Linked DNA regions of Drosophila melanogaster. The protein of the gene in region 2 interacts with the protein of the main gene of each other region in a pairwise test. Each region holds a gene or a part of one and is shown on either strand. Other genes may lie near its edges.

The links.
Region 1: the proteins of Tim9a (region 2) and danr interact in a two-hybrid assay, tested with the Drosophila melanogaster proteins (one large-scale study listed by BioGRID).
Region 3: the proteins of Tim9a (region 2) and CG3528 interact in a two-hybrid assay, tested with the Drosophila melanogaster proteins (one large-scale study listed by BioGRID).

What each region holds. Positions count from the first base shown.
Region 1 is NT_033777.3:25,136,209-25,140,545, reverse strand, and holds danr (distal antenna-related), read right to left. Parts: upstream 2,475-4,337; 5' UTR 2,314-2,474; coding exon 1,054-2,313; 3' UTR 643-1,053; downstream 1-642. UniProt on the Drosophila melanogaster protein: Probable transcription factor with a role in the retinal determination (RD) network. Regulates ato expression and is required for normal R8 induction and differentiation.
Region 2 is NC_004354.4:13,383,468-13,386,393, forward strand, and holds Tim9a (Tim9a), read left to right. Parts: upstream 1-1,742; 5' UTR 1,743-1,869; coding exon 1,870-1,929; intron 1,930-2,032; coding exon 2,033-2,128; intron 2,129-2,193; coding exon 2,194-2,325; 3' UTR 2,326-2,426; downstream 2,427-2,926. Other genes in the region: Rbp1-like, read right to left, coding at 1-156, 833-1,221; Ype (yippee), read right to left, coding at 2,877-2,926. UniProt on the Drosophila melanogaster protein: Mitochondrial intermembrane chaperone that participates in the import and insertion of multi-pass transmembrane proteins into the mitochondrial inner membrane.
Region 3 is NT_033779.5:2,516,458-2,519,813, reverse strand, and holds CG3528 (uncharacterized protein), read left to right. Parts: upstream 1-1,776; 5' UTR 1,777-1,857; coding exon 1,858-2,163; intron 2,164-2,216; coding exon 2,217-2,618; 3' UTR 2,619-2,712; downstream 2,713-3,356.

The DNA.
Region 1 (4,337 bases), on a different chromosome or scaffold from region 2:
AGAGGACTCATTAACGCACAGCCCAGATGCCAGGACCCAAACTCCTCTGCTGACTGCTGACCTCCATCTATGGCACCTATAATGATGCTTCCCTTTCATCATATAGAATATGGAATGTGCTTCGGCACATACATGTATTCATTTGCATGCCAAGTTTAATATTTATCCCTACAAAATAAATGGCAAAAAACCAATGAAGGCGCTTTTTGGTAAAAGAGTTTTACTTCTAATGGAAATTCAAAGTAGGATTCATTAGCATTTTCAAGTTTTTATTTGTTTGCAACTTAAAGATTCAATCGATTTGTGTTTAATTTGCATAATGAATTTAAAATTAGTTTAATGAAATATATTTTTAAAATATGGGTAAAAAGTTGACTATTTGTTTTTCTTGCAAATGCCTGTAAGTTTTATTTAACTTGCGAACGTTTTAAATAAAAACCACATGAATTAATTTAGTTTTGTTATAATTAAATACTTTAATTCTATAGAAAATTCCTGTTTTTCGATAAGCCTTTTGGCGGGTAAGACTTTCATTTTCTTCATAGGTAGAAAATTGACCCATTTTTCTAACCGCTGTAATTGAAAACCCATCAAGTAAAAAAATGTTTTGATCTTGAGAGATTGACACTTGAATTTTATTTTGTTTTGTTAATAAATATTTATTCGTTTCATTAGTAATTAGTTTATATGCTTATTTGAGAGTTACGCAGATTACACAGTAATAAAACAAATCGATTGGAATGGCTGACAAAATGTGCCAACTAATTAAGCTACTTAACACAATTAGTATTTGTTATAATACGTGTAGATGAATTGAATTTGGCTTTCAAACAAGTAGTCACACAGTTGATATTCCTAGTTAATACTAGCTATAGTATGCTGAGCTATTAATACCTGTTGCAGTGATATTAATACGTTAATTGATAAGTACAAATGGCATTTGCATTGCGAAATGATTCGAGTTTCATTAATACTAAAGGTGGCTAATAACAATAAAAATGGATGTATTTACACTATGAACTACAACTACAACTATGCTATAATGTAGGGTGTCTACTGTTCGGCGTCGCTGGACCCGACGCTCTTGTCGGGAGTGTGGGATCTGCTGGACGCCTTGGAGGCGCAGGAGCGCACGGACAGATCCTCCGGCTCGCTGTCGCAGTAGCTTTCGTTGGAGGCCTCACTGTGCGCCAGTGGACTCAGTCGCTTTAGTAGCGCCTCGTTGAAAGGATATGTTTCGAGATCCGGCTCCGATCCGCCGCTGGCCATTTGGTTGGGATTGTAGCTGGGTCCACCTGGTCCTCCGCCGCCGGGCTGCATGGAGGCTGCGGCCGCAGCGAAGGCCAGGAAGTTCAAACTGGCATTGAAGAGCTTGCACCAGTCGAGCAGAGCCGCTCCCTGGTTATCGGTTCCAGTGGGCGGGGCGTTTGCCGGAGTCACTGGTGCTATCACAGGCGCTAGATCCGCAGGATTCGGGAAGGGTGCTGGCAGTAGGGGCATTGTGGTGTCCGAGAACATGGGAGTCTTCGCCTGCTCCGTGACAAGAGCTTGTGGTGCGGAACTGTTGGCCTCCAGGGCATTGTTGTTCTTATCGTTCACTTGCTCCGGCTGATTGGCGGAGTTCACCCGCTTGGCCGGATCCTTGGCCCAGTTCTTAACACTCAGCAAGGGGTAATTGTTTTTGCTGTAATCCTCGGAAGCAGCGGGCGAATCAATCACTTTGTTGTCCTCTGATTTCGGCTGTGCATCTACCAGGACATCGGCAGTCTGTGGGGTGAGTTTGGAGTTGAGCAGGGCCAGAAGATTCAGCTGGTGCAGCATGTTGTTGGAGTAGTCCATCACGCCGGCCTGACCCGGATGCAGTGCACCCTCCGGATGCAATCCACCGTTCTTTTTTACAAATTCCACAAGGCTAAGCTTCTCCAGCAGGGATTCATTTTGCACTGGGTAATCGGCTGGACTGTAGGGCAGTGCACCGAAGCCCAGCTCCTCGTAGTTTGGAGGCAGTGCCACGAACTTCGGTGGCAGCTGGAGCTGCAGCTCGAACTTGGCGCGCTTTTCCGGTGGCGTGTCGAGACCCAGGTGATCGGGGCCCAGCTGGCGGCACATGAAGCGCAGCTTCTGCTCGTTCTTGCACCAGCCACGCAGCGTGGACTCCGGCACTCCGATGTCCCGCGACACACTCGCCTTGGTTTCACCATTGTGGATGCGCTGGATGGCACGCACCTTGTCGTTGGGCGTGAGGTTCCTCAGAGGACGCTTGCCGCGCGTGCTCATCCGGATGTTCATGTGCTGGTAGGCGGAGATATCCATGGTTCTATTTCTGGTTGCGCTGGCGATAGCGATTGCGATTACGATAGCGGTTTCGAAGCGCGGACTTTGCGGATGCGACCACCGGTGTGCACTCCTCGAACTCGCAGAAGGATGTGATTGTGAATCCGATTCCGCGAAAGGCGAGCTGCGAACTGCGAACGGCGACAGGCGAACGGCGACCGCCGAGATGATCCGATGATTTTGCGGCGAAGAGAACGGCATGACGTTTTTCTCGCTTTTTCTCGACCAATCGGAGCAAAGCGCCACTCTCACCTTTCTCTCTCTCTCTCTCTCGCGCGCGCACCCACCACCCACCAGTGCAACAACTTGTTACTCATGTCCTGCTCACGAAATTCGCTCTGTTCGGCTCTCTTAACGGGTTTGATGTCCTGACCATCATTCGCGTCCCTCTTCGCGGGCTGCGTATGTGTGTGGTGGTGTTGTGGATCTAGATATTCAGCATGCAGGATGCACATTTCCAAATCGGCTCCTCCACGTGGCTGCGTGTGTGTGTGTGTATGTGCCCGTGTGTTTATATAAAAACCAGTTATTTACCTCCCATAAACATTCCCTCCTGCGAAAGTGTGTGTGCGTGTATTTGGCCAACCTTCTCGCATTCGCATGTGCGTGAGCGGATCTGATACGGACGTGGACCTGGTTGCACTTTTGGGTTGCGAATCTACCGAGAATAACACAATTCCACTCTATATTATTTGCACTCTCCATCTGTGTGTTTGCACTAATTTCCATGAGTACTCTTTGTCCGTTATTTGTGGTAAATATTTTCATTGCACCCTTATCTTATGAAGATAATAGAAAATATATAGACTAAAAGGTGATCAGGCTAAACTTATTAACACAAGTTTTGAATTCACTGCGTTTTTTTAAATATTTTTATTTATATGTATAAGTGCTCACGAAGTACAATAATATAAAAGAATAGCACATACCTTATATGGAGAACTTGCATAGTTCTTTGCTGATGATTATTCGCACACAAAATTGTTTTAACCTTCATAAAACGATGTAATTCATATAAATATATTATTTATGGATCACTTCTAATTTTTTGATTGCGACTGTATACTAAAAACGTACGTAATGTACATAACACCTTTGTTGGAACACCTTTCTAATTGTAATTCTTTGATTCTACCCCTAATCCAAAGAACTATGTATATGCTGTCAAACACTGTTATTGTTATTAAAATGGATTATAATGTCTCAATGAATCTCGTCGTTTAATTATTGTTTAAACTATTAATGCGTCTGCGCCGTCCACTAAAGAAAAAATAACAAAAGCTTTCAATCTCGAGAAAACTATCAGCATTCTAGAAGAAGAACTGCTTTAAAAGCTTTCAGCCTGGTAAATATACCAAATCATATTATAAATTGCGAAAATTGGCTAAGTACACTTTAAAATAATCATTTTAGAAATGCTAATCCGTTCAATATTCTCCTTAAATAATATCACACATCCCTTTTTTAATACTTTTTTATTGTGTTATTAAAAGACACAGTTTAGAAAGTAAGTAGCCTTTAGTATTTATGTTTGATTTACACATATTTAAATAAATTTTCTATTAACTATAATTTATTAGATTACATCTACTTGTATTGATTAATTTCCGTTTTGCTGTATGTTATAACTATATCATTATTTATTATTAAACAATTTTCATTCAAGTTTATTTGTCACAAAACTGTATTTTAAAATGAATGGATTGTTTTAAATTAAATATGAAACCTACACAATAAATAAACGATTGCAAGCGTACTCAAATCGTAATTATCGATTAAAATTAACAATTTGTTGACATACCGCATTGAGATACTCTTTCTGATACATAAAGTCAAAATAAGTGCACATTTAATGGAAAAATCAAATTGCATTAGATTTATAAGTATTTGCAGTATAAGTATGAGGAAACGGTATTTATTTTAAGTCTCAATTTATACATACATACAAATTTAAATATATACATAACCTATGTTGGCAGTTAGCCCTTACATTTTGTACATAC
Region 2 (2,926 bases):
GGAAGAGGAGTAGTAGAAGTTCTAGTAGTAGTAGCTGTTGTTGTTTTTTCTTTTTTCTTTGTTGTTCTTTTAATTATCATTATTATTATTATTATTGATGTTGTTGTTGTAGTAGTTCTTGTTGTGCTTGTTGTAGTAGAAGAAGAAGACTTTATCCTGCAAAATGATTGTGAGACCACATTAAAACTGGCTCCAAGCGATCGATTTACTTTGTTTTTACTAAGTTTTCTTGTATTTTCTTTTCATTTTTCTTGTATTTTGTAATTTTACTAAAAACAACAAACAAAACGTTTTCTCTAGTTAAAGCTATACTCTTTGAACTTTAAACTATGGACCTCGGGGTGCATATAATGAGCAATGAAATGTGATACTAAAACAAGATTCCCCTTAAAAAACAAAATACGAGCTAAAAAGAATCGATTGACGTAGCAAAAGCAACCAGGACTGTCGGCCACGGACGCCACTGTGTGCGCGCGGTAGGACTGTTCTTTTTCACGGACGCCACTGTGTGTGTTTATGTATGGCTAACAGTGGTGTCCCACCGTATGTGTGACTGTGTGTATTTTGGCTGGCACCGCTTTTGTATGTATACGCGAATCGATTTTTCACATGCATACATACACACAAGCACACACGCTATATAAATATGTATACATATGTTTATTTATATATATATTTTTGCATACTTTTTTGCACATAATGGCAAAAATTATGATTTCATAATCTCGAGAGAGGGGTAGTGGTAGTAAGTGGGTGCTTTGGTTGGTTGGTTAGTTAGTTTATCTGGTTTATTCTGGGGATGCAAAATGTAATGCTTTTGTGCCGTACTCACCTATAGCGTCCACCGCCATCGCCAGCCCTTCCACCGCCTCCAGCACGGGCGCCACTGCCACCGCCGCGGCCGCCGCCACCGGATCCGCCTCCACCACCGCCGCCTCCACCGCCACCGCCGCGACCCTCTCGTGAACGGCCTGATGACATTTCGACACGGATGCGGGTGCCACAGCAGCGGGTGCCGTCGAGGCCACGGGTCGCATCCTCAGCGTCGCGACGATCCTCGAACTCGACGAAGGCGAAACCGGGCGGATTGCGGGCCACCCAGACGTTGCGCAAGGGTCCGTATTTGCTAAAGGCGTTCTCGATCTCGTATTTGGAGGCCGAGGATCCCAGATTGCCCACGTAAACTTTGCAGGCTAAATCCCATTCACGGTAGCGTGGCATTATGTATGAATATGTATGTGGCTGGAGGTGCTGCTCCTCCGGTTCTGTAATGGATTTTTGGTATTTGTTGTACCACTGGACTTGTCCAAAGTCAATTTTCCAGTTTGTTTTGATGCTATTCCGAGGGAATTCTCCTTGGTTTTTCAAAGAGCACACCCACAAAGCAGGAGCAGAAAAAAGTGTTTGTGAGGAAAAAAAGATGGCGTGCCCTCCAGTGTTGAAAAGTGAACGAGGTGCAGTACCGTAAAGCGCTGACCATAAGATATGCGACTATCGATATTTTATAGGAATATCGATCTTTGAAATATCATTTTATTCTATTTAATAGTTTAAATTAAATGTTTCACAACCTAAGGGTACTTAGTTAAAGTATTATTATAAATATACCTTAATTTATGTATGGATACATTTGCTTAATTTCATATACCCGATGTTAAGAGTAAAACTAGATGTGGTTAATTTTTGAGTCGGCCGAACCAGATACTTCACATAACATACTTCAAAAGATAACATATCGATAAGTCGAGAACACGGAATGGCTTTTTAACATCTGGCAACCCTGCACACCCAGCTGTCCCTATTATATAGGCACATTATTATTGGCCCTTTTTCGTTTCGGCAATTTTGAATAAAATATCGCAGAACAAAATGGCTAAGACACCGGAAAACATAGCCATCGATCAGTTGGACAAGGATCAAATTAAGACGGTAAGCAGAGTTGACACGAAGATACCATCTCATGCCAAGGACCGGCGGTGCCAAGTGATGCAATGTGGTTTTCATTTGATATGTTTTCGGTTCTAACTTTCAGTTTTCCGACTTCCTAATGTCCTACAACAAACTGTCCGAGACGTGCTTCACAGATTGCATACGCGACTTTACAACGCGGGATGTTAAGGATTCCGAGGTGAGTGCCCGTGGGGAAGCTCCATGTGGAAATCAGCGATTTCAATATGCCCATCCATTTCACAGGAGAAGTGCTCGCTGAACTGCATGGAAAAGTATCTGAAGATGAACCAACGCGTCTCGCAGCGTTTCCAGGAGTTCCAGGTTATTGCCCACGAGAACGCACTGGCCATGGCTCAAAAGACTGGCAAACTTTAGGTGTTATAGCTGTTACAAACAATCTTAACTAGTTTAGACAACTGAGATGATGCATTTTCCTGCATTTGTCAAAATAGCTGAGTAAAGAAACGCGTTGACGGAATCCCGACGATTATTATCTACTATTCGATTATTGTGGTACTTTATTGCTGATTGATTACGGCCTAGAGATCTTGTTTGAAAAAGACAAGTGTGGATCATCAGTTTCGAATATGTTCCAGCTGAGTAGCAGCCCATCTTTTTCGTTTTAGCACTTCAGCCTCATGACATTTAAATGGTAGAATTGGGCGCCGCAGCTGCTTACGTGCTAGATGTGCCTACAATTACGTTTAAGTCACGTTAAGACAGGGCCGTAGTCGCATGTGCTCCGTGGCGGATGTGCAACCGATATATCGGTCTTCGGTATCCCGAACACCGGAGCCGACTACGGCGATCTCTAATCTAGGTCTAATGCATAGAGGCCATCGCCTGTGGCCATCTACTCAATACTTAGGGCTACACAAGGTTCGCCAATGCGTGGTTCCCGTTTTCCGGCTGTATATTCAATCGGCTCAATGACTCGTGGTGGCGGCCTCCGACGGAAAGCCCTCTGCCTCTGTGA
Region 3 (3,356 bases), on a different chromosome or scaffold from region 2:
GAATGCTTGAAAAAATATGATTTACATATCTAGAAGTTCTCTGATAACTTCAATCTATGCAACTGCTCAAGTGGATGATTGGCATGCCCTGTGCGATAATGACGGCAACTGCTCAACTATAAATTCCAGCCCTCAGTCCATTCAGCACTTTCTGCAATTGAAATGCAGTTGCAGCCAGCCGACTCATTCATCAGAAATGTGCACTTAACACATGGCAAAAGCAGCCTCGACTTTCCCGAGGCAGCATTGAGCATTGCCGCCTCATTCTTTGGTAATGCACATAAATCCTTAGAGTGCGCACTTAACTCCTTTTTATGCTGCGACAAAGTACATTTACTAATGACCAAGTCAAACAATGGCCACGGCCAAGACGCAGCGGGCGAAATGCGAGTCCTGGCAGTCCTGGCGGTCCTGTAGGTCCTGCCAGTAGACTGGCGGGAAGTGGGTATGTCGTGACTTCAGCGGGGAGCAGGAGGATTGGCCCACGAAGTAGCAATTTACGCGCTCAAGACGGCGGCAAGCGGCAAGATGGTGACAAAGCATGCAAAACGGAACAGCAGTTGTTGCCCCAAAGTGATGGAGAGGGGGGAGGGAAGGGAAATTGTGAGAAGGCTTGGGAAAATGCAGAGGAAAACTATGGAGGGGGATCTGCACGTGGAGGAGCACTGAGCTCCAAGTGTCGGCAGCGGCTGCATGTTAATTGCTGCAGCGACGACAGCAACAACTGCAAACAGTGGGAAAGCGTGTCTAAATAGCGTAAATTCACACAGACACACACCTTCACGCAGGCAAGGGGAAAATCTAGCTGCGTATTGTGTGTGGAAATTGAAAAGCGAGCTGGAAATCTGCCAGGAAGTGCAGGACATCTTACACACCCTATTTGATATATAAATTATGGCTGATTAGCAGCGGCTGTTGGCATTGTTTTAATTGGTTTACCTGGTGATTAATCTCAAATGGCGAAAGGAACTTTGAAAGTGATTTATTTTTAAGGCAGGTTACAGTATCCTGTACAATTTCATAGACTTGGGTACATTTTTTAGTTGACTATAAACTATTCGTTGCAAGTTCATCAACTGGTTACCGTTTATGTGTAAATCTGATCTGATCTGAAAGTCCTTGGGATTCATAGGGCGATGTGCGGAACACTAGGTGTCACTTGTTAGACTGCTAATCCTCGACAGTGTGCGCTCAACGGGATATCAGGCGGAAAAGGACAAAGAGCGCTGCATACGCACAGGCTGAAAATGCAAATTTTCCCTTTGGCTGGCTGGCAGTTTAAAATGTTGATGAAGTAATTAGTTTAATATGCGAAATGCCCCTGATGGGCGGCGGGAGAGGGCGTGGCACATAGGGAAGTGTAATTGAAAATACTCACAGTTCTGGGCTAAAAGGGACAAGGGCACAGTCGGGGCTTGGGCATTGTGAAACTTTTTCCATTTATTAAATTTGCCACACGAACAGCGCAGCGGATTCTGCCAAGGGAACTCTATGTGGGAAATGTTTAATTATTTGTGCGCACATGAAATTAAAGCTGTTACAAATTGTTACAAACCATTCCGGCTATCAGTTTCTCAAACAAATTTCAATTAAGATAAGACTTTTTCACGAGTTTCGAAAATTAGAAGGAATATTTTTTGTGCTCAGCTACTTTCATTCGAAATTGAATATGAGAACAACTCTGCTTCTTCAGGCCCAGCAAAAGTTTTGCCTTTTGAGCCAAAGTTGGCAGTTTGTTGTCAGTAATGTATTTTGCTCGAACTTATTCAAAATATTATACATTTTGATTTACACGAAATCACAGTTTTCTTGCCATTCAGCAGCTTTTCAGTTTTAGTTTTTTGAGTTTCGCGCGGAATGAATCTGATTAACTTTAATCATTACCAGGACTATGTAGACAGCTTCATAACCATCCAGGACACTCGCTATTTGGGCAACAAAGAGATCCAGAGGAACCTGATCCAGAATGCCTGCGGTAAGAATTGCCTGGGTAATCTGCTCACCCGCGAGCAATTCTACCAGCGGAAGGAGAAAGAGTTGGTGCTTCTAAAGCCAAGGGGACTACGAGGACTCCAACTTTTTGGAGACTACTTGAACAACAAAGATGAGGTGCTCCAACAGTTTGCCAATCGAGAGAAGAAGCTGCTCGAAAAGCAAATTTCGGTTAGAAGGTTACATTTATGTGTAGTGAAATGTGTACATTTTGTAATTTTTAGACCGTCGTCTACCTGGTGATGCGTTCGAAGAAGGGTCTAGAGATCTCCAGCTTTCTGGACCTGGAGCAGAGTCTGCGCGAGTCGCGATTCGAGAACTCTACAAGCTGCGTAGACTGGCGGGCCATTTTCGAGGGCAGAACGAAGCTGAGGCCATCGAATCTGCATCTCAGCTACTTCGACTGGCACCAGAATCGTGTGTCCTTCAACAACAGCGACAATTTCCGGGTGTTGAACAAGAGGCCCCACAGTCTGCTGCTAAAGCATGTTGGCGATCACAAAATATTCTGTGTGAACGCCTCCTGCGATTGCGAGCACTCGAAAAATGTCAGCCGCAAAACGTATTTCTCGCCCATTTATGGATATGTCATATTCTTCGACCACATAATCAGGCGCATTAATTAGCGACGGCTTTAAAGTGTCAATGAACGTAATCGTCGTTAAATGAAATGTGCAAATAAATCGAAACGAGGGCGCATTTGTCGCTGACAGCTAACGTAAATTGCTTTTCATATCTTATCAGTACAGTTCTGGTCGCAGTTTTTGATGGACGTTTCGAGGTCCTTCCGCCCGGCGAGTCCTCCGTCCATCAGGCGGCGGAAATTACCCGAGCTTTATGCCACTTTGTTGAGTTTATCGCAGTCAGGGAACATCAATTGCATAAATCTATTAACTGTCGCCCGGCGGAATGGGGGCGTGGTTGAGCCTTCAACTTGACCAATATGTTTCTGTTTGCGCATTTGCCATTGTTTGCCAACTTGCTTGTGTGGGTCAGCTTATGACGCTTTGTTAATTCTCCCAACAGTGTGTCTGTTTAATTGGCCTTTCCACTCATGCAAATCAACTTGGCCAAAATTTACACAAGGCTGAAAGGAGAATTTGCTACGGCTTACACATTGGTGGTTAATGAGTTGAAAATATTAGTAGTCAGTCTTAATAAAAATTATATGAATACAATTAAATCCACTCTGTTGCCCAGATACCATGTTTTTGGAGAAGCAAATTCAAATAAATATTAAATACGCCTAAATTATGATTTAAGTGCCACATGCAGAGGCAGTGCAATTTAATTTGCATATACAATTAGCTGCTAATTTACAACTTTTAGTCTCCACTGGGCCATGGCTAAGTTCGCCCAGAAAC